Linked DNA regions of Mytilus edulis. The protein of the gene in region 1 interacts with the protein of each later gene in a biochemical or structural test. Links are inferred from orthologs where the notes say so. Each region holds a gene or a part of one and is shown in the gene's direction. Other genes may lie near its edges. The genes, in order: kelch-like protein 12, protein transport protein Sec31A-like, programmed cell death protein 6-like and endoplasmic reticulum junction formation protein lunapark-B-like.

Region 1 (7,707 bases):
AATTATACAGGAATGACCAAATGTAAAACAATTAAAAAAGTGAAATCACAAAAAATACCGAACTCCGAGGAAAGTTCAAAACGGAAGGTCCCTACTGAGACTAATCAAATGGCAAAATCAGAAGCCCAAACCCGTCAAACTAATTGCCAACAGCTGTCATATTCCGGAATTGGTACATTCATTTTCTTAAGTAAAAAATATAGATTATTATAGCTACCTAACCTCTCACTTTTATCACCGTATAATCGCATAACATTCAACTATATTGACAACGATGTGTGAACAAAACAAACAGACATAACAACATTGAGCCTAGGTATAAATGTTTAAAATAGGGATGCAGCAGACAACATTGTGTTATTATCTTAATTAGTATAACAAAATCACTATACACACAAACAAATATGTAAACAAACATGTATCATTACACAATGACAGGAGCACATATCGAGAATATTACCAACAAAGCCAACAGAAGCCTTGGTTTCCTCTACCGAAACCTACACATCGGCTCTAAAGGCATCAAGGAGCATGCAATCTTACAAAACTCTAGTAAGGGCCTAACTAGAATACGCCACAACAGTATGGGACCCATATCATCAAAAGCATATCGACCAAATTGAACAAGTTCAAAGGAGGGATGCGCTATACGAACCCAAGCGCCACAAAAACAGATCAAGTGTCACGGACATGATTAACGAATTGGGTTGGAAAAGTCTCAAAGCACGACGTAGAGAGGCCGGTCTCGCAATGATGTATAAGATCATCAACGACAAAGTATCCATCCACAATGACATTTACCTCCAAAGACCAACTAGAATATTCAGACACGCACAAAAACATGCATACATGGTACAAACAGCAACCAAACACCCCAGGAAATTGTCTTTCTTTATGACCACCACTTATTAAAATTGAGAACGAAAATGGGGAATGTGTAAAAGAGACAACAACCCGACCATTTATCAACTAGTATGAAGGAGCAAACTGCCCTCTCGAGAGTAAACCTTCCCGGCTTAACATGTTTGGCCGGATGTCAGCCAGTGACGGGTGGGACGGAACTTTTTCTACATTGGCTAGAGGTATAGGGGAAGGGTTGATATCTCAAAAAGCATGTTTAACCCCGCCGCAATTTTGCGACTGTCCCAAGTCAGGAGCATCTGGCCTTTGTTAGTCTTGTATGATTTTTTATTTTAGTTTCTTGTGTATAATTCGGAGTTTATATATGACGTCCATTATCACTGAACTAGTATATATATTTGTTTAGGGGCCAGCTGAAGTACTCCTCCGGGTGCGGGAGTTTCTCGCTGCATTGAAGACCCATTGGTGGGCTTCGGCTGTTGTCTGTTCTATGGTCGGATTGATGTTCTTTTGGCACATTCCCCATTTCCATTCTCAATTTTATAAAAATTAGTTGAAAAATGCTTCTTAAACTCATCAGATTGATACAAATAGAAATTCATTCAACAAAAACACAGAGTGGACGTGCCAGGTATCAGAGACTTTACATCTCCGCAGGTACTCAGTATACATCCTTAGTCCAAATAATTATAACGTCTTGAAAGAATATGATATTTTTTTTTCTTTGACACCTAACATCGCAGGAAAGTGTCAAAGCAAAAATCAAAATAGCCTTGCAAGACGTCATAATTATTTGGACTTATACATCCCTACAACACTATCAACACTGAAAAAGACACTAAGTTACAAATGATAACATATCTGATTTAAAAGTACTGGCAGCCATTTTTAGCTCACCTGACGGTCAAAAGGGCCAATTAGTGAGCTTTTCTCATCACTTGGCGTCTGTCATTCGTCGTCGTCGTCGTCGTCGTCGTCGTCGTCCGTCGTCATTAACTTTTACAAAAATCTTCTCCTCTGAAACTACTGGGCCGACAAGTAAGATCCACAAATAAGTCAAAATGACCAAAATGGTATGGGAGTCTAAAATAAAAATGACAGAATTCGTTCATACTTTGCCAAAACGTAGTATCTATTGATATATGGTCAAAAATATGATAAAATTGATAGGTCACCGTGCATTTTATCAAGCTACAGGTTGTGACAAAATGACACATTGTGTATGGATTATACAGGAAAAACACAATGTTGTGATTAGAAACTAAACAAAAAGTGATAGAATTGTAAAATAAATTAGGAAAAGATAGCTTTCAGACAGTGCTTTGAGAATATTAAAAGAAAAGATAGGGTCACCGTACGTTTTTCCCGGCTAAAATACAAAATAGGAAAATTCCATGTCACTGAGATTCCTTCAGAAAATGCACTGTTTTAGAGTTGTCTCCCTCCCCTTAAAACGCCAATTTAAAAACATTTAAAAAAACAAAAATAATCGACACTTGTAAAAATATTAATATTTATAAGTTATATTCTTATGTATTGTAAATCTGTTGTTTTTTTTTACAATCCAAGATGGCGAAAGACACCCATACCACCTTACGGAGTTATTGCCCTTTATAGTCAACTTTTGACAATTTTTCGTAAATTTTTGTAATCTTTTACAACAATCTTCTCCTATGAAACTACAAAGACAAAAATTAAACTTGTCCACAATCATCATAAATGGGGTATCTTGTTTGAAAAATGTGTCCGATGACCTGGCAAGAGAACCAAGATGGCCGACATGTCTAAAATAGTACATACGGTAAAATGCAGCTTTTGGCTCAAATCTCTGAAACCAAAGCATCAAGATCTTTCTGCCTTGAAATTTTCAGACCAATCAGGCAATCTGTCGTTGGGTCGCTGCCCCTGAATTGGTAATTTTAAGAAAATTTTGCAACTTTTAGTTATTATCTTGAATATTATTATAGATAGAGATAAACTGTAAACAACAATAATGTACAGCAAAGTAAGACCTACAAATAAGTCAACATGATCAAAATGGTCAATTGATCCCTTAAGGAGTTATTGCCCTTTATTGTTAATTTTTAACAATTTTCGTAAATTATTGTAAATTTTTGTAATTTTTTACAAAATATTTTCAACTGTAACTTCTGGGCCAAGTTCATTATAGATAGAGATAATTGTAAGATACAAAGTAAGCAACAAGAATGTTCAGTATAAAATAAAATCTACAAACTCATCCCCATCACCAGGAACATATATATTAACGTTAGATTATATACTGTTCCCAGACATCACCAAAACACAATTTTGTCATGAATCCATCTGTGTCCTTTGTTTAATATGCACATATACCAAAGAGGGACGAAAGATACCAAAGGGACAGCCAAACCCATAAATCTAAAACAAAACGACAACGCCATGGCTAAAAATGAGAAAGACAAATTAAAAATAGCACACATGACACAACATAGAAAACTTAAGAATAAACAACACGAACCCCACCAAAAAACTAGGGGTGATATCAGGTGCTCCGGAAGGGTGAGCAGATCCTGCTCCACATGTGGCACCCGTCGTGTTGCTTATGTGATAACAAATTCGGTAAATAGTCTTAATTCGGTAGGTCACATTCATGAAAGGGAAGGGGATTTTAGTTACGACGTAAGGAACATATCCGATATGATTTGTGAAACGGTTATTCCATAACGGTCAACCAACTCGTGATGGCGTCAGTCAAATTTACGAAGGGATGATTTCAACTTTACCATTTGGAACTCTTGGTTTAATAGCTTCCTTGTGAGCAGCAACCCTCTATCAAGAAAATCATGATAGGAAATGCAAGCACGAGAATATTGTATCAATAAGGAGATATATACCCCGTATGCAGGTGCTGCTGAAATGTTGCTACTTAGAAATGGAAAGTTCACAATTGGAAAGCTGAAATCATCTCTTTTGTCGTAAAGTTTTGTTTTCAACCGACCCTCATTGTCAATTTCTAGATGTAAGTCAAGATATGAGGCCGACTTAACTGTATCTGTAGTATCCTTTATCTCTAGCTCGATGGGATGGATAGATGCGTTCCACATCATGACTGAGTCACCAAATTTTGAATTATTTAGTGAAAGAAGATCATCTCATGATATAGCGAAAAGTAGCGTTAAAGGATATTGCTAACTTCTTATATTTCTTCCTAAAAAGTTCCTGCATGAAGTCAGCCTCATAATAATAAAGAAATAAATCGGCAAGTAGAGAGGCACAGTTTGTTCCAATTGGAATGCCGACAGTCTGTTGAAAAACACGTCCTCCGAACGTAACAAATAAGTTGTCAATCAAGAAATCAAGCATCTTGATAATATCAGTTTCAGAGAATTTTTTCAGTTTAATGTTTAAATCAGAGTGATCCTTTACAACGGTAGGATTTATCCCTCCCTAAGACAAGATACTTGTATCTACGTTGGCCATTCTTTTTTACGAGCAAAGCAATACCAATTCTTCCAATTTGTCTCTTAGTTTGGAATGTGGAATACTAGTGTAAAGAGTAGAAAAGTCAAATGTTTTAAATTAATACTGTTACAAGATGAAACTCGGAGAGTTAGATTGTATGTACCATCTAAAAGATGTACAAAGGTGAGCGACATAGACTCTTTAGAGTCTCTCGTTTATATTCTTGTTATTCTTGATATGCGTGTTATGTTTTGTGTTTTTGGTTGCCCCCTGGATTTAATTTGGAAATGAAGTTTCAAATTATCAATAGGTTAATTTTTACATTTTGAAACAATTCGGAAACGAGATTTATCCAGAATTGGTTTTAAATTTAAACTTTTCTTGACTGGTTTACTTTTTTGCTATTCAATACAGAGACCAGATTTGGTTGCAGATTTTGCAGATTTTTCTTCTCATTTTTACCGATATATAATTCAACTGTTAAAAGATAAGACAAAGGTGTGACATTGGTGAAATTATGTGTTCGTAACCTGCTATTGTTCTCAATGTCCAGTTGAAAAAAAGAGAGGACAAGCGTGAAGAATGTCCAATAAATTTATGTTATCGGTTCTTCGTATCGTATAGTCAGAGACATATAATTGTATTATATGTCTCTTATCTGCATATAGTGTAGCCTCACTGAACACAAATTATTACGAACGATTTTTGAACTTTAATTATTTTTTTTCTTTGTAGAATACTTTTCTTGTGTGTACCATAGAATTAAAGATGTATGTATGAATGCATTTCATGTTAAATCATAACACACATAATTTTCTATTTACGTTGGGATACTTTGGTAAGATTTTCATGACCTGGTTTTAGGGGTGTAGCAAGCTCAAAATGGACGCAATTACGAACGGCACTATATTTATATATCTGGCAGAAAAAATCAATGACATAGACAATACAGTAGGCAAAGGAAACAGAACGTTGGGATTTATATGTAGAAACCTAAAAGGCTGTACAAAACCTGTAAAGGCAGCTGCGTATGTATCCATGGTAAGACCTGCAGTGGAATACGCAAGCACAATATGGGACCCAACCGCCCAAAATAAAATCAAGGCAATTGAACAGGTCCAGAAAAGAGCTGCACGATTTGTGAATAACAACTACACAGACCGAACACCTGCAAGGCTGTGTCACAAATATGGTTAAAAATCTTAAATGGGAAAGTCTAGAAGAACGGAGGAAAACAATTAGATTATGCATGCTATTTAAGATCCAGCATGATCTTATAGATATAGACCGTCACCAATATTTGACACCGAATGATAACCGGACCAGAGGTAAAAACCGCTTCTTCCAAGAAAGAACAAGTACAGACACTTACGGCCAATCTTTCTTCCCGAGGACAATCAGGGACTGGAACAACCTACCAACAACAGTTACAGCGACCAACACCATTGAGGGAATCAGAGCTGCCCTGAAGGCATGCTCTGAAAGGAAGTAGGAAAACCCAGTTGTAAATAATTTTAATTGTATATTTTTGCGAACGTTTTAAATGTATTTGTAAATATCCAAGAGAAAGCTTTCTGTGTTGCCCGACACTGCGTAAAGTTTTCGCGCGGAACCATGAATATTCAGTATTGAATCCGGTTCCTTACCTGGAAGAAGAAGAATGACAACGATCTAAATTTATGAAACATACATTAATCTTATCTTAAAAACATTTCCTAAGAAAATAAGAAGTGTACCTAATACCTAATATGGTATTTTACTTCAAATTCTTCAGCAGTAGTTGAAGACGAAATTGGTGACAAAAAATTTTCTTTGAAAAGGAAATAATTTGGATTTTTTGTTTTTATGCAATTTCTTTCGTCTAAAAAGCACTGAATTCTCTTTACAGTTATATTTTTTAGTGAACCTATGATTTTAATTTATATTTAACCTTTACTTTCGGAGTTCTCGTGACTTTTCAATAAAAATACTATTTTCTTATGACTACAATGTATGCTCAGGGTCACCTGAGTCTGAGAAAACGTTCATTTTTGGATTATTTGGGCAAGATAAAGGGTATCACACATATTAACAGATTCAGGAGATATTTTTCTATTTACATGCATATACAGTACGGGTAGGGACTTATTTTTATGGATGTCTTAATCCGTCTAGTCGGATATGAATAATCGGACATTTTTATGGTAGGTAGTATGTTCATTAAACAACAGATCCAGGTGTGAATGGTCCTTTCATCTTAATCCGTGTTGCTAAAATTACGGTTCACTGATTTCAGAATCAGATTACCTGTAATTTTAACCTCTCAGTCACAGGCACTTGTTTCTATCCATACGAAGGTCGACTATCCATATAAATAGAAGAAGGTGGCTAACGATTTTTTTTTTAGGTCACGACAGTCTCCGCTTGGGACGCTTTTTCTACCCTTCAACTTAATGCTAAAAATCCCTACCTTATATGAATCGATTCAGTGAATATTTTCCTTTAACACTAAACTAATTTCATAATCCCCACAGTGTTCCTCTTCACGGTAATCTACTCTCAATTCACTAAACCATGTCCAAAAGTTCAACTACCATCTTTCCAATGTATCTACTTCCGGTTGTGGGCAGAATGCTATCTTTTTAAAAACGAAATGATTCTGTAAAATTACCAGTTTATTATTTTCATTATCAATATATTTTTAAAGATGAAATTTCACCGAAATAAGTACATTTATTGTTGTTATTAAAAAAATCAGAAAGTCAGAAACTAATTTGAATGAATTCGATAATACTAGAGAATTCCGAATGTATATGGTAACTCTAAAGAATTTCATCGATCTTTTATTTTGGAGGTAAAAAACGTATCAGAATTAGGGGAAAGAAACTGAGTCAATGAAAACAAAATAAATTTACTGCGATGTCAACCGGAAGTAGATACATTGGAAAGATGGTAGTTGAACTTTTGGACATGGTTTAGTGAACTGAGAGTAGATTACCGTGAAGAGGAACACTGTGGGGATTATGAAATTAGTTTAGTGTTAAAGGAAAATATTCACTGAATCGATTCATATAAGGTAGGGATTTTTAGCATTAAGTTGAAGGGTAGAAAAAGCGTCCCAAGCGGAGACTGTCGTGACCTAAAAAAAATTTCGTTAGCCACCTTCTTCTATTTATATGGATAGTCGACCTTCGTATGGATAGAAACAAGTGCCTGTGCTCTCAGTCACTTTATTGATTATATTAGTTCGACATCGTATTTGACATAAAATATTTTTACAGGTGAAGTACTGGAGAAAACATTGTTTAATAAAAATAGCCAATTTTTGTTAATTATGGTTTTGATATTTCAACTGTTAATATTTATTTTCTTTGTTCCTAAAAATTATTTTTATTTTATGTTCCTTTTCGTTTGTTTTTTTTT
Region 2 (6,878 bases), on another chromosome or scaffold:
AAGGCGAAAACGCTAAAGCGCTAAAACGCAAAATTGCATTAACCTGCCACCATAGTTGTCCGCACGTAAACTTCTAGAATTTGTCACCAATTTAAGTACATCGCAATCCGTTACTGTTTCAACAGCCATCGATGTTTCATGTGTGTATTTTTAAACAAGTATTATTTTTCTCTCGTTTTTAGCAATGTATCACTCTCTACTGTCCTTATATATTATTCTATATTCTGAGTTTCCATCCAGATTTTCGTGTATACCATGAGGGTCCGGATTGGGGGTATTGTTTATTTCTGTATTCTTTAAATTGTTATGTCATTTTTTTTTACATTTTATTTGTCTTACTCATTATTCTTTCTTTATTTTTCATATTTTGTCATCCCAATATATTTTACTCACTGATGTTTAGTTACATTACGACGTTTATCTCTAATTTATATACTGGTTACCAATGTAGATGACAAATTTGTGTCATTCATGACAATTAAACAGAATCAACATTATATATGCGACCATTCTCGGATGAAATTGATATTATCAGATTATTACATAGCATTTTTCATATCGCATGCATGTATTATCAGCCCTAGGTTCAATATCAACCCAAGAGCCGCATGGCACCAATTCAAAAAAGTATGGAATTTACGTTAATTTAATGCTATTATCATACAGTAAAAATCATATGTTATTTAGTCTAAGTATATGATAATACTTTAATATTACACTTTTTGAAACCATTTTTATCAATTTTCAATTTCATGCGTTGTTTCCGTATAGATATGTTATGTTTCATTGCTCATGTGTTGTTTTCGTATACTTTAGCCGCTCGTCTTGAGCCTACTCATTTGATCCGATAACACCCCATATAACAATAAAATTATACTTTTATTGCCTTTCATAACTCTTAACAGACCAATTAACAGACCGGGTTTTATATATCCGACCTATTAACAGACCAGGTTTTAAATAAATTTTGATTTATGTCACCAAAATACAGATTTTCGTGTAGATTTTTCACACAATGATATCTATATGGTTAACAAACATAATACCTTTCTTTTTTCGATATTCAAAATATTGAATGCAAGTAAATTTAACCAATGTGTCATTTTGTGTACATTTTATGTGTGTAAAATGTGTATAAATGTATTGATGAGTAACCCGCCTTTTCATTTTATAGATCGTACATCGAAGCTAGAAAAATAATAATTACACCACTGAATTCAGTACATTGAATTGTTTTGTTAGACATGAATACTTTTTATGATGAAAATATATTTAGAAAGCTATACAATGAAACATGCTGAACTTTCAATGATTTTCTCGATAACACCTGATTAACAGACTTTAGCCAACCCGATTAACAGACCAACCGCCGATATAGCCGCATACTCAATATAGATTAACCGACCAATCTCTCGGTTAGCCGAGTGTCGGCCGTGAGATTGATTACGTTTATCAAAGAGAATTACGATAGGTGATCAATCTATCGGTGAATTAAATTATGTGTGTATCTGATATGACCGTATAAAAGTTGCATAACGAACTTGTAAGATGTTTGTATTAGCTTAAAGTTTAAAAGACTATTGACAAATAGAAATTTACAATCTTACATGTTTCAGATGTAAACAAATATTTCGGACATGTAAATTCATAGCGACTTTCGAGATCATTCTTAGTATTGAATAAATTAAATATGCATGCTGTATACGAAATGTACATAATAGAAATCAATATAATTAGACAGTTTGAAATATAAATTTTAGTACCAAAATAATGTGTGACAATTGTAATAACGAAAAGTAGAACCTATCCGTTGTCATCTGTGATTCAGATATAATTCAAAAACGGCCAAACAAATCAGGCATGATTGCGTCTGTACAACTTTCCTTATTTCCTCTTTTTTGAAATTAGTTGTAATCTAGTTAGCAGCTGCACTGTGCATGGTTTTGTGTGTTCTACTTTCTATATGTATCGATTACCGAATTCTTGTCACAAACTGAAAGCTTGTTGTTTTTAAGTCTGGGGTTGGTCAGCTGTATTTCTATATCTAAACGAATATTTGTGAAATGTTGTAAGTATGATGCAATCTTTATGTTCATAATCTAAAAAAGTATTGGCATATGCAAATGATCTTTATATATATGAGCTATTATAATATTCATAAACACACTACATGTCAATGCTCTCAGTCTCTTGATCTTTTTAGTGACTTATATGTGTGGTGTTATTTTTACTGCAAAAAAAATATGACAGGTGACTAGGCAGTTATCAAGATGAGACAAATAAAAAAAAGATAACTTGTTTAAGGTCTAAGATATTCAAATATCGTGGCTAGATACCAATTCTGACTTTTAGTTGACGATAGAGAGTGTCTTTAGACAGTTTTGGGGAGCTGTCTTGAAGCTCTCGGCTGACTAAGCGCACACTATGTCGCCTCCAATGTGGCTCCAAAGGATTGTACTCTTACATTTTTCAGGATTAAAATTCATCTGTAAGTCATGTTATTTTGTTTTTATTTGGGATTAAGATTATAAGACAATATTGACTGCTGTTCCCTAAAATTTGACCTTTTTAACCAATTATGTCTGCTTGTTTTATTCACCAATCGTTGTCAATATTAAGGAATTTGATGCGACTGTCGTACAAGTGAGAGGTTTAGAGCTAAAAAAAACAGGTTCAATCCACCATTTTCTTCATAAGATTTCTTCATAAGAAAATGCCTGTACCTAGTCAGGAATATGACAGTTGTTATCCATTCGTTTGATGTGTTTGACCTTTTGATTTTGCCTATGATTAGGGACTTTCCGTTTTGAATTTTCCTCGGAGTTCACGGTATTTTTGTGCGCATACTTTTTCCAATTGTACACAATTTGGCCATTATGACAAAAGTTTGTCAGAAATCATATCTGATATTCTTCCTCAGTCATAATAACCTTCCAATCATCATTACCAAACTGAACAAAGAAATAACACGACGGGTGCCGTATACGGTGCAGGAAATGCTTACCCTTCCGGAGCACCGGATTTCACTCCCGGTTTTTAGTGGAGTTCGTGTTGTTTCTTATTTATTATTTATATCTGTTGATGTAGATGTCCTTTGGTTTTGTGAGTCTTTGTTTACTCCTTGGTTTTGATTGTTATTGTCTTTGAAGAGGCAAAACACTTTCTTGAAATTGTTCAATAAATAATTAGAATAATGAAAGGCCTATTAATACTGTTCAATTTGGAAAACCAGAGTCAACTGCTATTTCACAAGATTTCAGGTAGAGTCATGATATACCGCCATCTTGCTTTGTACAGTCGCAGTACACAATCGGTCTAGTTCTTTGTCTAAATTTGCAAATTTGGAGACAGATTTGCAAATAAATAGTAAGGCTGTTCATTTGTATACAGAAAAATTAGTGATTTATTGCATTATATAAAATTTTTAAACAAATACTAAATACTTGTGTTGTTTAGGGTCATTTTTTCAACTTGAACATTTAAGGGGAGATGACTCTTTTCGTAAAATAAATTATTGGAATGATAGGGAAATGTCACTGTTTTACTTGTAGCAAGAAAACAAGTTCGTTAACATACTTTTTGTTCTTGAAGGATATCATAAAACCTATCTACTCATATTTTATTTTAAAATTCTATCTGATAGATTTCTTTTTATGCATAGAAATGTGTTTTTTCGTGAACACTCTATGGACATTTTTGCAATTTTGCACGTATTGTAGCTTGAAAAGTATTGCGGCTACCCTTACATTTTATCATTTATTTGAAAAATAGATAGTAAAATCTTCATTTTGGCAAGGTATAAGAAAATTAGTGTTGTTTTTGTTTTTGTTTTTTTTATAAATATTTTGAGACAGATTTGCATCGCAATCTCCAGATGACGGAAGTAGATGGAATGCTGGGATATTGTTTCTTCCTTTGCCACGTTGGTATGCAGACAGACGTGGAACTGTCAATTTCATCGTTTAAACGTGTTATTTAACAATTGATTTGCATAAACTATAAATCTTCCATACAATTACCTTCTGATCAAGGATTTTATCTCATCCCAGACAAATACTGTTGGGTGAAAAATCAGGTAAAAATGTGTTATTTGACAGTCGCCGGTATCATTTTTGTATATGTATGTAAGCAATTCTCATTTTTTTGTAATTTCCCTTGTCCAGCTAGACTAGTGTACTTCATTTCCTGTTTTCATGGCACAATAATATGACTTTCACATGTGACGCTTACTTAAAATCAGCAGCAATCCCAGGATTTTCTAAACATGCTATAAAGGGCCTTATTCCTTGTAGTTCCAAGTGTAGCTACATCTCCTGTAACAGTCCTGTTAAGTGTAACAGAGTGAAGTTCTTTCAATTTTACTAATAATTACATGTAGATCTAAACCTGTAATGTTTGAAATTTTGATAAAACTACAAAATAACAGATTTTCTAATTTGCTATATTTTTGTATTTAAATGAATGATTTATAAATTACTCACTTCAGTAAATCCACTATCTGTTAATGACAGCATAGCTGCGGAACCCTAGCTCAGTGCTGATGAGCAAGTATAAGAATTTGATTGGGTGAATAATTCGTTCTCTATGATGTAGCATCATATTTTTTCAACCACTCTTTAAACGTGGAAAGTGACAATGCCCCTAAACACACTATTATTCACTAAAACTAAAAGTTTTTGAGGGAAATGCAACAAACTTGTAAATGTCTATTGGGAAAGATATTTACAAATTAACATTAATATTGTACACATGTAATTTTTATTTACAGATCCAAAACATGAGGGTAAAAGAAATAGACAAAACAGCCAATGTGGCTTGGTCACCAGAGAAGCAGTTTCCAGTTTATGTTGTTGCAGGTACAGCTGCACAACAGCTGGATGCAACATTTAGGTATTAATCTGTATAATTAGACCAATTTAGACCCATTTTTAGAAATGAATAAATATGAAATCGGCTATTTTTTTTAACCTCAATCCTTCAGTTAGTTCATCAGTCATCTTTGGTTTTTCGATGTTTAGATCAAATATGTTCAAAGTAAAATGTACCTAAAAAAAATTGAAGCATATATTGTAGTACACAAAATCTTCTAGTGAGAATCCTGAAATGTCTTTTCAGTAAGAAAATTTTAAAGCACTTGGTGAAATTACAAAAGTTTTCAACGTCTATATGTATCTCTATTTTACACATCTATAAATTTATATCTATAATCTACAAATACATGATGCTCAGTAATATATACTCACATTAACTTATGTCTGTTATAAGTTCAACTACATTTGAGGTTGTGTTACATGTAAAGTGTGCTACTGTAGGAAATGAATAATCATGAAAACCTTTTGTACTGAAAGGTCTTTTGATAAGAATCAGAACTTTAGGAACAGGAGCCAGCATTTGGCATCCACTGCTTCAAATTCAGTTGACCAAATAGAGTGTTATATATTTTACTCCAGCTTTTTGAGTTTTTCAGAAAGTGCAATTGTTTGGAATGAAAATTACTCATTTTTAATAAATTGTGTGTTTGTTAACACTTTTCTCTTAAGTGTACAAAGAAAAGTTTGCCACTTTGATAGCAATGATTTTATGTCTACTTTTATTGCAGTACTACAGCAGCCTTAGAAATCTATCATTTGGACTTGTCAGATTCGTCACTCCATATGCCATTAGTGGCCAGTATACCATCAGAACATAGGTAAATATGTGTTGCCTTAAAATATTTACAGCCCACAGTCAAGATTTTTTTTAAATGTGAAATTCAGATGACATCTTTTCGGATAATAGAAGTCCCTTGAAACTGTGAAAACAATGAACTGTCATGAAGTCAAAACTACATAAAACACAAATTAAAAGAAAAAAAGGAAACAACCTCTAATTGCTGTCTTTTTGCTGATTAGATTGTGATTATCCATAACAGCCATAGTCATGGATAAGTACCAACTTGTGAAACACTTCCTATACCTTCAGCTTTAAGGTTACTGGTAACAAACAAAATTTAAGAATGAATTATCTTTTTAAGTGATGATAACCTTTTCCTGATCATAAAGTTCCATAAAGTTGTATAGAGTAATTGGATGTCAAATACTGTGGATTCATTTATTTTTGTGTGTATCAATTTTTCGTGGATTGAGCGAAACATGCATTTTTAGGAATATTTATTTTTCCTGGTTTTGCCTATCTGTGCATACAAAAAAACATTGAATATTTGTTATTCATTGAACATTTGAATTCATGGTTCAGATGTACACACGAACCCAAGAAAATTGGTATCCAACGAATAATAATGAATCCCCAGTAGCTGTTTTTTAAATGATTATTTATTTATCATAGATTCCATAAAGTAGTATGGGGTTCCCATGGAATGTCTGATGGATCGTCCGGAGTGATTGTAGCAGGTGCTGATAATGGCAACCTATTTTGTTATGATGGAGCCAGCATGATCAAAGGATCGGACAAATTATTATTCAAACAAGACAAGCATGTCGGAGCTGTCAAAGCATTAGACTTTAACAATTTTCAGGTATAATCATGAATACAAGGCAATGACAGGGTATAAAGCAGTGAGGCAGCAACCCAACAACTCAGAAACTAAAATACATTTAACGGTCAATATATTGAAGTCATCAAAAAGAAAAATGTCAAGGTCTTAAAGTGAAGTCTAAGAAACTTTTTTTTAATGAAACCAAAGATCTTCTTAAAAATAAATCATTATTTTGGAAGTTCATCATTTTGGGCAAGTTATTGTTATTGCGAAAAAGCATGGTTAGCATAGTGGAATCAAATCACAGTGGCATTATACACTCTATATCATAAAAGGCAATAAACAATTTTTATTATCCAAAGACAATGTTCACTAATTATTAAGAAATGCATTATACACTTTT
Region 3 (6,837 bases), on another chromosome or scaffold:
AGTTACGCCCCTGACTGTTAATAGATAATATCTTTAATACCAGACTAAAATCATAAGTACATTTTTTTTAGAGAAGACATCATTAGACTTTATTCTGAACTTAACTATATATACATGTATAATAAAATAAATATTATCTTATCATATCTTATATAGCTACTACATGTACTAGTTATATGTTGAATCCTTATGAAAGTGTACAAAATCTAGTAATTATCATTGCCAGAGTTAATGTAGAAATTGTCAGCATATATTCTATAAATTTTACATGAACCTTATTAAAAAAGAAATGTGGATTCAAAAAAATGTAACAGCAACCAAATAAAACAGACGTACTTCATACATTAATTGACTAAATTGAGAGTCTGAGTAATGTGGCGAAAGCTATAAGTCAAAATACAGCAGAATTTAATTGTAAGATTTTATAAACCTTTATAATAAATCTTAATAAAAACAGAAGCTAAGGTGAACTAGAAGAAGTTTTCTGAACCACTGTATTGTAATAGTCTGATATTATATTTGTAAATTTTCAAATACCATGAATACAGTATATATATATTGAAAAGTGATGTTTATTTTTCTTAATATTTTGAATATTTGAAACAAAAGGAATAATGAGGACCAAAAAAAACAAAAATGATAAAAATGGTCTAAAAATTAAAAAAATTAAAAAATAAAGCCCCCAATTCTTAAGTCTCTTATTTATACATGCTTTTTTGTGTGTTCCCTTGATAACTCTTCATATTGACAGTGAATACCTCTTTATTAGTGATATCAAACAATTAAGCTGTTCTATGGCTGCATTCTTTTCATGTTGACAAAGTTTTACATCCTGTTTGAGTTTAGTAATGGTATCCAGTAATGCTGTTGTGTTGTGTGGATTACCAGGAGAACTAAAAAGAGGCTCCACATGGATTCCTTTGGCCTGCATTATTTTCTTTTTGAAGTCCTTTGATAAAAATAAAATGATTGAATTACAAGCATTTTTCTTATATATATATGTACATGTAGAATAAAGCATTTATGCAAGTGAACCAACTTTCTTCAAAGCAGTTTGCAGTCTGCAGATAAAAATACAAGCATGCCATTAATGAGCTGTATCTACACTACTGAGCAAAAGTGCAATTAATTAAAAATAATTCATAAGATAAGAAGGTTATAAAATTTAATATATCTTGTATATTCATCACTTATGAGTCTTTTTACAGTACTTAAGGTGAGGTTTAATTTGTAAAGAGCTGGATGAAGATCTCTTTTTGTACTCACTTTATTAACTAGCTTTGACTTATCAGCATACACGTACATACAATTCAAACTGACTGATAGTTCGAGTTGAAAGATCATAAGTTTAAATATTAGGGATGGCAACGAGTACTCGAATACTTAGGTACTCGCTCGGAAGGCAGAGTACTCAAGTACAGTTTTAGTGCTTGGATACTCGTTTGTCTGTTATAAGTCTTGAGATATTTCTCTTCACATATCCACTCACTTTAGTTCCGTTGAACTACATGTATCCCCTTCGTAATACTAAATAAAATCAATTAACATTTCATAAATATGGTTATCCTGTTGCTACTGTTTGTTATAGTAGTACCAGCAACGTCCTGTGATTCCGAGGGAATGTTTTCATGTGCACTACTCGTATTAAAAAATAGAAAGTCAAACAGTCTTTGGTTTGAAGTTGTAAACCAAATCATATTTCTAAACAAGAAGAAAATCAATTTCACCTGCAGTGAACTCTACGCAACTGATTAGAGACATTTTTAACGGTATTTGTACACGAATCAACACTTTCAGGGATTTAAAATAATTAACTCATCACAAGCCGTAAAAACTCACCTTTGTTTGTTAATCAAGACTTCTATGCAAACATGATTGGTATGAGATGTACATTTGAATTAATTTTATTACTCTGTATTTGAAACTTAACTATAATTGTTTAATTTACAATTTAAAGATAAGCGAAAGTACAAGAGCGACATTCAAACCTAAAAGTCAAAAATAAACTGACAACGTCATGGCTAAAAAAAAAAGAAAATCAGACAAATGATAGTGCAAAAAAAAATAACAGAAAAAGCACAAGTTATAGTCCAATATTGTTGTTGATAAATTAATGGACAAGTGGTATTATAAAAAATACCAACTCCTCAGGAACAGATGAAGTGTTGTTGATTTGCAGTCATGAGGATAATAAAAATTAAATTCACTTTAAAAGTGTAATACCTCTAAATCATGGTACGTCACATCCAGTTGTATACTAAAATAGGTTAAAAAAAATATTCCCATGAATTTGACAGTTGTAGGTAATTAATCCTACATTTCATTGCACATGTAGTTGAACATTTTCTGTGTCATAAACATATGTCTTGGGTATTCAGGCACATAGCTCCCTATACGCTAACACGCAGTTGCGTGCACATCGATTTGGCATGTTAAAGGAAACACCTATGTTGTCACTTTTTTTTAATTGATGAAAATCATTAAAAAACGGCATTTGGTTTCAAAATAGAGATTATGACAAAATCGGACATTAACTTGTATCTTTAACAAGATTTGAATTTGTAATACTCAGTCTAAGACATGTAGTTTTTGAGCACATTTTACAGTGTACGGTTCATAAGTTCGGAATGAGATGTACGAATCGGCATTAGAAGTATCAGAACCCTTCAATATCATTAAAAATATGCTGAGGCGATGTGGTCGACAGACTACCAGAGCAAATCACCCTGCAATCACGCCAAAACAGTATTGGAAAGTCTCATTATTTTTTGCGTTCATAGACCATATAATAAGGGAACTGGAGAGTGGGATCGAGTCGCGTCTTATCAGAAAATCTGAATGTCTAAGGGACATAACTCAGCCAAGATTTTTTTTTATCTATACAAGTAAATAAAATTCACTTGTATAAGTATCCTACAAATTTACTTATATGTGTATATTTTTTTTACTTCTTCAAGTAAATAAAAATTACTTGAATAAGTTGTACCCCTGACTGCCTCCACTGTAATGATGAGAAAATAAGGATAGAACAAATAAAATAACAGGCACTTGTTTCTATCCATGGGAAGAAATATATGTCGATGCTCTTTCGATATTGAATCTTCCCATGCATAGGCGGATCCAGGGGAGGCCCCCCCTTTCGTGGGAAAATTTTGGTTGATTATATAGGGAATCACTGAAGCATGACTGGAGTAGGCCCCCTCTTAGGTCAGTCAGCGCCCCCCCCCCCCCCCCCCTATGAAAAGTTCTGGATCCTCCACTGCCATGGATAGAAACAAGTGCCTGTGGACAAAATGGTGGATAAGAAAAGGGTTTGGGGGAAAAGGGGGAGGGCTAACAAAATTGTCATGTCCTAAAGTACTTATGAATCTTGTTACACTGGCATATATAAAATGCATGTATAGCACTGTTGAAGGAAGACATGTAATGTAGGGTAATTTTGTTCAAGTAAAACTTCATAATCATTGCACAATTTTTTGAAAACTATTTCATCTTTAAATTTTACAAGGTGTGTATACCCTTAAAAACACAATTCTTGATGACCCCAAAATACACAGTCCAGACATCTTCGCGCGACAGTGAGAAATACGAGTACAGATAGTTCACAGTGAGAATCACATGTGACATGATAATTTTCCAAGGAAATGTAAGAAGTGCACTCCACGACTAATATTTGGAGTTCAACTCGTACCTTTTTCAAAAATTTAAGACATACGAATTACTCTTCTACATAGGTTCAAAATAAATGCTTTGTTTACTCTCTGATTTTTAGACTTTATCTGTTATGTTGTTCGTCCAGACAGTTCACATATTTCTACATAGATTAGACGCCATGTTGTTTACATCAGCGCTATGCATTCGGTATTCTCCAGGTTTTTAATTACAATGTGCGAAGATCTACAAAAGCTCGAAGTTTAATTATCGTAGTCAATAATGTGTTTACCAAAAGACAATATCAGCTTACTAAAAGGAAAAATAATTTAACACTGACCAAAATCAAATACGGAACAAGAAAAATCTGTAAAATATTTTGGGAATGGCTTATTACGGTCAACAACAGCAGCCTCCTGCAGGATACTATAACCAACCTGGTGCTCAACCTTCACAGAATGATCCTAATTTTCTATGGGGCGTCTTTCAAAGGTTATTTTAGATATTTATAACTGATAATTTTCAAATCAAACTATGCAGTGTCACAAATAATTTTTGAGTGACTCAACTTTTGTATTACGAAATATCTTCATTAAACTCAAACTTATTCATTTTCTTGAAAACGACAGGAATGTCTGAATGTCTGTTAAAACCGTGTTATATGTCTAGTCCTTTATTCTTTTGAGTTTTGTGGATTATTTGTCCATACACCTTATTGCTAATACCGGCTGACCCGGCCGCTTGAACTTTTGACGCATACAATAATCACTTTTCCATTGTGGCGTCTGATATTTGTTTTGTGACATCAAAATTTTACGGGAACCTGTGTGATATCCAGTAATGTCGGACAAATAGCGATAAGGTGTATAGTCACCTGGTCATAGAGTGTTTTTGACTGCCTTTTAGTCCAAGTAACTACATGTGTGACCATGATGACGTCTTCTATCAAGGAAGCACAAATTACTTAAGATTTCTGGCATAAGCTCTCAAGCGAGAGAACGATGTAAAGAATGGAAAAAAGTGATAACTAAATACAAAGTCAAGGAAAGGAAAGCTATATACAATGTAATGCATGCTACGGCCATTGTCAGTTAGATTGTAGTTGTCATAGTTGTAAAACAAATCCCATTAACATATTAAATGAATGATTATTTTATTTGTTTTAGAGTTGATAAAGACAAAAGTGGTCAAATTAGTGCTAATGAACTTAGCGGTGCTCTGTCCAATGGTAAGTGGTTGGTCTATGTCCAACCTTGTGATTGCACTAGCTGCCCTAATGTAGCCCAGTGAAGTCTGTTTCATAATTTGCAGTTAAACAGGTCTAAAAAAAGCTGTCAGAACTCATTCTCATATCTTGTTAATTATTCCCCCTGTCAAAATATATTTTTTGTTAAATGGATACAGTGATATGAATAAAAAATTCAATAAAAATCTTTTGAAAAGAAAAGTTGTAAACATTTTCTGATGGTTTTGTTCTCCAGTTCCTGAATTGGATATTTTAGATATTGTATAGACACATAAAAGTTTGTTACTTTGTGCATGTCAGTGTTTTCCCTAGACATGTTTTGAAGGATGGTGGGATTGGCTGAATGGATGGTGGGCATGAATTTTGAAGGATGGGGACTTGTATAGAGACTGAGTAATAAAGAATTTCAAGATTTGAAGGATGGGGGCCTAAATTAATGCATGGGGGTACGTACCACCATGCATAAACCCTCTAGGGAAAACACTGCATGTTCTATATTAGATCAGTTTTCTGAGAATTAGACCACTGACAGCTTTAGATATATTGTTAACTGCAAATTATGAATTTTTGCATGTAAAATGTACATGTACAGTTGTAGCTTTCCTATGTTTTTGGGCAGGTTTTTCATGGAAGTAAAACATCATTTTTCAAACAGCTGTGTTTTATTTGAAAAGATTTTTGTTGCACCAAATTTTACCAATATAGTGCTTACCAAAATTTTAGCTTGTTTATCGTTGATTTTTTTGAATGGAGACATATATATTTGCAATTTTTTCAAAATATTTTGCATGATTTTCACAGCTCTGTTTGAAACATTTGATTTTTTCCAAATGAATTTGCTTGTCATGCAAAATCTGTCCTGCTTCTGTACTAAGTAATGATAAACCTGGGTTTTTTAATAGGAAGATTGGTAAAGCTGGTTATTAAACATGTTAAATAGGATTTTTTTTATCCTTTTATTAGGATAGATAAAGACAGAAGTGGCTCAATATCAGGAAATGAGCTTCAACAAGCTCTCTCTAATGGTAAGCTCTGTGTGACAGGAAATATAAGGAAATGTGTATTATAAACATGATGAATTCATAGTCATTGTTCTTCAAATGTTCTTTAACATAAGCCTTTTTAAATTAGAATTGTTAGATGAATAATAAAATCATTTCTTTAAAAACATAATTACAATTGATCATCAATTCTTTAAATGATAATTTTCAACTTTTCATTTTTGACCAGGATTCAAAATTAACATAAATAAATCTAAGCAGATTGAATGCATCTTGTATGAGTTAACATGGTCAATAGCCACTATACTCATGCCACTCTATTTATATCTCTATTCATTAAATGATCATTTTGGCTTGTGGCTTTGCCTTTAGGCTTATTTTAGTACTATGGTCATGATAGTACATTTTTAATTCAAACTTAATTCCAATACTAAGCTTTTTTCCAAAATTTCTTTCAAAATCAAATTTTATTTTTCCTCATCAATTGGTAAATGTTTAGTTTTCTTGGTTTATGTTAAGTTTATGTGACAGTTGTAATAAAGCTTTATATTTAGGACTATCAACATAATATTGATGATTAGCAATTAAAGAAGGTGAGACTGTGTGCACTCTTGTTATTATGAATCTTATAATTTTCTCAAAGAACTACATGTGTTTTATTATTATATAAAAATGTTGTAGAATGAGCAAAACTAGAAACACATCTGATTCAAGTCTTAACAGACACATTTTTAAGAACTATTTCATCTTGTCAGAAAAGTCTAAAATATGAAAAGAACAACTAAACATGCTGATCCATTATGAGACAATTAATCTTTAAATTTCATTTTCATGGTGTGTTTCTATGTTGTTAATCAATGAGGATTAATGTACAGATTGTACATTTGATGGACATATTTATATTCTTATATTTCATTGTTAGGAGCAGACTCAAATTTT
Region 4 (7,004 bases), on another chromosome or scaffold:
AAACCATTGTAACTACAGATTAGAAACAATTGTAACTACAGATGAGAAACAATTGAAACTACAGATAAAAACAATTGAAACTACAGATGAGAAACAATTGAAACTACAGATAAAAACAATTGAAACTACAGATGAGAACCAATTGTAACTACCGATGAGAAACAATCAGAAACAATTGAAACTACAAACGAGAAACAATTATAACTACAGATGAGAAACAATTGAAACTACAGACGAGAAACAATTGTAACTACAGATGAGAAACAATTGTAACTACAGATGAGAAACAATTGAAACTACAGATGAGAAACAATTGAAACTACAAACGAGAAACAATTGTAACTTCAGATGAGAAACAATTGAAACTACAGACGAGAAACAATTGTAACTACAGATGAGAAACAGAAACAATTGTAACAACAGATGAGAAACAATTGTAACTACAGATGAGAAACAATTGAAACAACAGACGAGAAACAATTGTAACAACAGATGAGAAACAATTGTAACTACAGATGAGAAAAAATTGAAACTACAGACGAGAAACAATTGAAACTACAAGCGAGAAACAATTGAAACAACAGATTAGAAACAATTGAAACTACTGACGAGAAACAATTGAAACTACAGACGAGAAACAATTGAAACTGCAGACGAGAAACAATTAATACTACAGATGAGAAACAGAAACAATTGTAACAACAGATGATAAACAGAAATAATTGAAACTACAGACGAGAATCTGATGTAACAACAGATATAAAACTAATGAAACAACAGGGGAGAAATAAATCAAACAGATGAGAAACTGGTGTAACAAATTAACAACAGACGTAAAACAAATAAAACAACATATGACAAACTAATGTAACAACAGATGACACACTGATGTAACCACAAATAACACACTGACGTTACAACAGATGACAAACTGAAGTAACAACAGATGACACACTGACGTAACAACAGATGACACACTGATGTTACAACAGATGAAACACTGATGTTACAACAGATGACACACTGATGTTACAACAGATGACACACTGATGTTACAACAGATGACACACTGATGTAACACAACATATGGAAAACACATCAAATAAGAAATTGATGAAACATACGAAACAACAGATGCGAAATAAACGAAACTGTAGATGCAAACTGATAAAACAGCAAATGAATGATGTAACAATGGGTTTAAACCTTATGAAATAATAGATGAGAACTGATGGAACAACAGATGAGAAACTTAATAAACAACAGATAAGAAAATGATTTAAAAACATATTTTAAAACAAAGAAAACAGCAGATGGGAAACAGATACCGTATAACAACATTTACAGTCACAAGACAACAAATGTTTTATTAAAACGTTGTATGGCTCTGTTAATCAGGACTCGAAGACCACTGTTATTTTTTTCTTGATATTTTTTGACGACTTAGACATTTTCTGTACACGGATTATGGGCAATGATAGACTACAAAATGGCACTTTGTGTCGTTTATGTGCAATGACAAATAACTTTTCAGGCTTTTAGATTTTTTAGAAAATGTTTTGCCACAGTCACCCCGTACTGTGACCTTCAACCCAGTCTGATTAAAACATGGGTTTCTGATTTAGTTATACTCATATGGAGTGTAACGAAATCAGAGGTATGTGTTGTAAATGGGAGTATAGCGGAATCAGAGTTCTGTGTTTTAGATAGGAGTATAGCGGAATCAGAGTTCTGTGTTTTAGATAGGAGTATAGCGGAATCAGAGTTCTGTGTTTTAGACAGTAGAGCGGAATCAGAGTTCTGTGTTTTAATTAGACTGACCTTAGACCTTAAGTTTGCTGTACATTGACCTTGTGTACCATATGTCAAGCTTTTACCAAAATTAATTGTTAAAGGCTATAGAAGGAGACGAAGCCTTTTGATTTTATGTTCGATATTTATAAGGTCAGTTTCACACAAGGTATTGATTGACTAAAAGTTTGGTTTCCAGTTGTACATTTGTAACCCTTAAGCCTACATCCAACTTTTAGCATACTTGGTTTGTTAATGACTTGTGGGAAGGAAACGACTCCTATTGACTTTTTGTTACACTAATATTTCTGCTAAAATTTGCTATCCAGATATTATCTTTAAAATCATAATTATGAGAAACATTTTCTAAATTTGATTAGATAATGCTCCATGAGATGATAACAACTCCTCTCGATTTTGAGGCCGCAATTGATACACTAAAATTGAGCCGCAAATTTGGTTTACAAATGGTATTTATTGATCGATTTGTCTAACCTTCACAAAACTTGATAAGCTTGAGCATATGCTCCAATGAGAGAAGTACCACTAGTAATTCATCGATTGGTTAATAGATCAATTATTTTAGTTTTAAAGAGAAACTAGCCACGAAAGAGATAAAAAAATAATACATTATGATTTTTTGTTCAATCATTAATGAAAGTGAAATAGTGAAATAATAAAAATACGCTTTTAGCAGCAAGTATGGTTCATTTTTTTCAAAATAAGCTAAGAAACATCGATTATGAATTTTTCACTTGCAAGTGAATAATTCCACTTCATGAAATCCGTATTCATGTGAACTTCAGTTTAACCCCTTCGCTAAAGATGGATTACACATGAATAATGCGTGTCAAATTATTAAAAGAAAGAATGTAAACACTGAAAGTGAAACAAAGGTAAATTATTTGATTAACTGATTCGTTCCACAAAAAAACGTTCTGATACAGGTAAAATCGAAAATTTATTATTTTTTCTCATAATAATATGAAATCAAACAGACATGAAAAAAGTCAATTGCACGATGTTGTTATCTTTTTATATCTATGTTAATGATTATACCATGCATGTAATGTGTCCGTTGGTAGTTTTAGGAGGTCATCTCGATAGTTAATTAGACGGCATTAATTTTAAGACTAAAATACACCCAACATGTTTATATTATCTAGTATATTGATTTATTAAAGAGTTATTATAATTTGAATTTCTGTTTCAAAGATCTTCATTTCAGAAACTACTAAAAGAACATAGTTTACAATAACGATTAGTATAGAAAAAACACCCAACTCTAGATAACGATATGATAGACAAAACAATAACACAAGTTGACAAGCATATACAAATTGAAAACAATAACAAACAATACTGTATCAACGAATGCTAGCAGTTACTGAAGGCAAGATTGAAGTACACTGTACAACATCATATTATTCTTATATTGGTGGCTGTACGTTGTAATTAAGTAGTATAGTTTCATGCAACAAGATCATATAAGTATGGCAATCATACTCATTTCTTAATACCTCCGAATATTGAAGTAAAATACCATTTATTAGTAAATTCCTGTATGTGTAATCTAGTACCTCAACTGAATTAATCTCTTTTCTTGTTGTTGTTGTAAAAAAAGAAAGATTTTTACCAATTTATGAATCAAACTGAATTCTTTATCCTGCTTTGCTTTATAGATATTAGATGCTGAGACTACTATAATACTATGTGTTATAGTAGTCTCAGTTATTTGTAATAATAGTGACATGACAGGTACAATGTATATGATACTAAATTGATATGTAAAACATCGAACCATTATTAAACCGAGAAAAAAGTTCCTTCAGTGAATTGCTGATGTATTCATAGATATGTGTAGTATATATGTCTCTATGATGCATGATAATTTGCCAATTCTATAATACCAAATATCCATGCATTAATCATGTCTACACTCACATGTCTGATATTAATTATCTGATTATATCACTCGATTATATCTGCAGGTAATATTATCTAAACGAAAGGGGAATAATCAACGCATTTGTCTTTTTTGTTTAAATTGTTTGTCCTGGCAGAAACAAATCTACACAGGTCCCGGTAAATCAAATGTAAGATACGACACTTTGGAAAGTGTAAACAAAACCACATGGCTAATTGTTATTCATTATCTCATATTAACCAATCAAAATGTTACAATTTGTCACTGCTTCCGTTTCCTCACAGAGGGCAGCACGTCAACACCACAAAATTGAAAACGGGAAATGTGCAGTGTGTTGGACCAATAATTTCGTATAGATAAATGACAACTTGAATAACACAGACATAAATTGTAATTAAGGACTTTACAATGGGTGTCCTTCTTTCCAGATTCAGAGTATGTAGTGTCGTCTTTTCCTTAAAATCAAAGAAAACTCTAGAAAATGAACAATCTGTCACAATTTTGTTACTCCTTTTTCATCTATTTTGAAATTTTAGCGAAATGATATCATCCAACATTACTTATTTAATGTGTGATGTTTTTCAGTTGGCCACATTTCAATACTTATATAGAATAACTATAGATTGATTCACTTTAGGGTATTCGGTGTTGGACAGAAAGATAAAAGGGGGGTTTATTGGTATTGGGCTAAGTATCAACAGATTAAGGAAGTTTTAGTGAAGTTTGGTGGGGTAGGTGTTGCTTAGTCTTTAGTTTTCTATGATTTTTCTTTTGTACTATTATTTGTCTGTTTTTATTTTTTAGCCATGGCGTTGTCAGTTTATTTTCGATCTATATGAGTTTGACTGTCCCTCTGGTATCTTTCGCCTCTCTTTTTTAACATGAATTTGAAACCAAATAATACTCTGCGCTACACAATGTTTGTATTGAAAATCTGCCAATATGCAGGTGGAAATCTCAATCTTAAACAGGAGTATGGTAACATTAGAGACACTGCTATATGTCTTGATTTTCACCTTTGTTTGAGCTACAGGTAATCTTTTTAAAAACTTTCTGCAACTAAATGTAGGACACTGAAGAACAAACGTTTTAGAATGTTTCTTGTGATAATTGTTGTCACATGTGTATCCAGCGAGTTTATACTGTTATATACATGTTTAGATACATGCATTTAATTTGTATTTAAAAGATTGGATTTTGAAAAAGTTGTCCTTACTGTGAGTCAAAAAATGGTTATTTCCACTGGTTATGATTTCACAGTCATCATTTAACAGATTATGAGCAAAGGCACCACTAATGGCACTATTAACTGTTCCTAGTTTTTCACACTGCAAAATATAATTTGAGTATTAGACAGTTTACTCCCAAGGCCGTTTTCATGCTGCAGTATCTAGCCCTGTGCTATCAAACTTTTAGTATTGATCCTTTTGCCTTCAACATTAATATCCGTTGTCTGATCCCTTAGTTAAAAATAATCAAACATTCCTTCATTTTTCAGAATTAAGTCAAATGTCTGAGATCTTATATAAATCAAAGTGATGACACATTCCAAAACACAGGTCTAAGCTATTTCTGCTAACATTACTTTGAGATGGCATATAGTACATGTCTACTATAAAAAAAACATTAAAAGACTTGCACAAATAATGTCCAAAATGCTTTATATGTACATGTACTATGACATGTATGATATATAACCATATTATAGTAGAAATATTAACAATGAGCAGCAATTATTACATACATCATTGTACATAGAAAACAATAAGGTTAGATACAAGTTTGCAGGATCAAAATGAAGATTATTTGAAGAAGGGGTGGATAGTTAGTATTTAGATACTTTAAAGATGCATATTATTTGGGCATATTATTTGGGTACAAGACTAAACTGTTTTTTTTTTTCTTGTAGAAGAAGAAATCTACCATTGAGATATTAGATGATATTGACAAGGTAAATATTATGTCTACTACATGTATGAACATAACTGTCATATCGATTCTTACTGATGGAAGATGAAACTGTCAAAATTGCTATGTGATTTTATTATTATTGTCTCGCCATACAAATGACCAATATCTTTCATGTCTTTAGACACATGCAAAAGTGAAGATGTTCAAGAACTTTATATTACTTAAATAAAGCTTATTGGGTATTCATGCATCAATAAATTAGAAAGCAACCTTGCAATAGAGTAAAACCCCAAAAGTGGTCTGTGTATGAAGTGTTTATTTTATGAGGTTTATTTAAAGCATTTACATGTATATCTAATCAAAGAATTCAAATAGAGAAAAATATTAATCGAGTGACCGAACAACACATTCACGAATGCATGTAATGTTTATGATATTTATACATGATATAAGAACATACAGCCATACACATATTTTTAAATTGTATTATAAAAATTACTAAAATTAAGAAATGATTTCCCATTGACATGATTGAAAATTCTTCTGTGGTTTTTATGGTGAATCCTACGGTTTTGTTGAATGTGTAAGAAATTGCTTTGTTTCTGCACATAATTCTTTTAAACTTGCTTGGATCAATATTTAATTTTAATGTTGTAAATTCATTACAGCAAATTAGCAGTTTGCAGCAGTTTCGCCGACAGAACCAAGAGAGACAAAAGAAGTTTATTGGACGTTTGATACTGTATTCTATTTTGATGTATATTGGTGCAGCTCTGATTTTCTACTTCTACTACCTACCACCCACATGGACAAAAAGGCTGATATATTCATCACCTCTGCTAATATTTCCAATTTTGTAAGTATATGTTTAGAATAAGACGAAGTAACTCGTACATGTAGCTTCAAATTAACAAGAACTGTACATGTATGTAAATCAAATGAAGCTTTCAATGCGCAATAAAAATTGGAAACATTATTTGATTCTTAGCTTATTCAAACAGAAAGCTTAGAACTTTGTCTAGTGATTGGAGAAATTTTGATAATATTTTTTGATTTTTGTGATGAGGACTTGTTATTTAATATTAGGTATACATGCATTCAAATGTTGTTTTTTTGTTTTTTTTTATCAAAATGCTTTATATGTACATGTACTATGACATGCATGATATATAACCATATAGTATAAATATTAATAAAATTGAGAATGGAAATGGGGAATGTGTCAAAGAGACAACAACCCGACCAAATAAAAAACAACAGCAGAGGGTCACCAACAGGTCTTCAATGTAGCGATGAGCAGCAATTATTACATTATATGTTATTCAGGTCTCAGACAGGGTATACATGTATACTGTGACATTCCCGGCTTAGAGTT

The links.
Region 2: of the proteins of kelch-like protein 12 (region 1) and protein transport protein Sec31A-like, one has a biochemical effect on the other in vitro, tested with the Homo sapiens proteins (3 studies listed by BioGRID, with this or other methods). The link is inferred for Mytilus edulis from reciprocal best matches to the Homo sapiens genes KLHL12 and SEC31A.
Region 3: the proteins of kelch-like protein 12 (region 1) and programmed cell death protein 6-like form a complex in vitro, tested with the Homo sapiens proteins (2 studies listed by BioGRID). The link is inferred for Mytilus edulis from reciprocal best matches to the Homo sapiens genes KLHL12 and PDCD6.
Region 4: the proteins of kelch-like protein 12 (region 1) and endoplasmic reticulum junction formation protein lunapark-B-like form a complex in vitro, tested with the Homo sapiens proteins (2 studies listed by BioGRID, with this or other methods). The link is inferred for Mytilus edulis from reciprocal best matches to the Homo sapiens genes KLHL12 and LNPK.

Annotation. Positions count from the first base shown.
Region 1 is NC_092344.1:86,997,572-87,005,278, forward strand, and holds the start of kelch-like protein 12, read left to right. Parts: upstream 1-4,697; 5' UTR 4,698-4,803; intron 4,804-7,707. UniProt on the Homo sapiens protein: Substrate-specific adapter of a BCR (BTB-CUL3-RBX1) E3 ubiquitin ligase complex that acts as a negative regulator of Wnt signaling pathway and ER-Golgi transport.
Region 2 is NC_092352.1:38,682,249-38,689,126, reverse strand, and holds the start of protein transport protein Sec31A-like, read left to right. Parts: upstream 1-3,865; 5' UTR 3,866-4,075; intron 4,076-4,768; 5' UTR 4,769-4,777; coding exon 4,778-4,890; intron 4,891-5,599; coding exon 5,600-5,689; intron 5,690-6,324; coding exon 6,325-6,514; intron 6,515-6,878. UniProt on the Homo sapiens protein: Component of the coat protein complex II (COPII) which promotes the formation of transport vesicles from the endoplasmic reticulum (ER).
Region 3 is NC_092348.1:38,951,112-38,957,948, reverse strand, and holds the start of programmed cell death protein 6-like, read left to right. Parts: upstream 1-3,819; 5' UTR 3,820-4,036; coding exon 4,037-4,143; intron 4,144-4,817; coding exon of another isoform or gene 4,818-4,879; intron 4,880-5,860; coding exon 5,861-5,922; intron 5,923-6,837. Other genes in the region: uncharacterized protein, read right to left, coding at 759-949, 3,519-3,566. UniProt on the Homo sapiens protein: Calcium sensor that plays a key role in processes such as endoplasmic reticulum (ER)-Golgi vesicular transport, endosomal biogenesis or membrane repair.
Region 4 is NC_092345.1:26,205,792-26,212,795, forward strand, and holds the start of endoplasmic reticulum junction formation protein lunapark-B-like, read left to right. Parts: upstream 1-3,978; 5' UTR 3,979-4,126; coding exon 4,127-4,153; intron 4,154-5,627; coding exon 5,628-5,669; intron 5,670-6,297; coding exon 6,298-6,485; intron 6,486-7,004. UniProt on the Homo sapiens protein: Endoplasmic reticulum (ER)-shaping membrane protein that plays a role in determining ER morphology. Involved in the stabilization of nascent three-way ER tubular junctions within the ER network.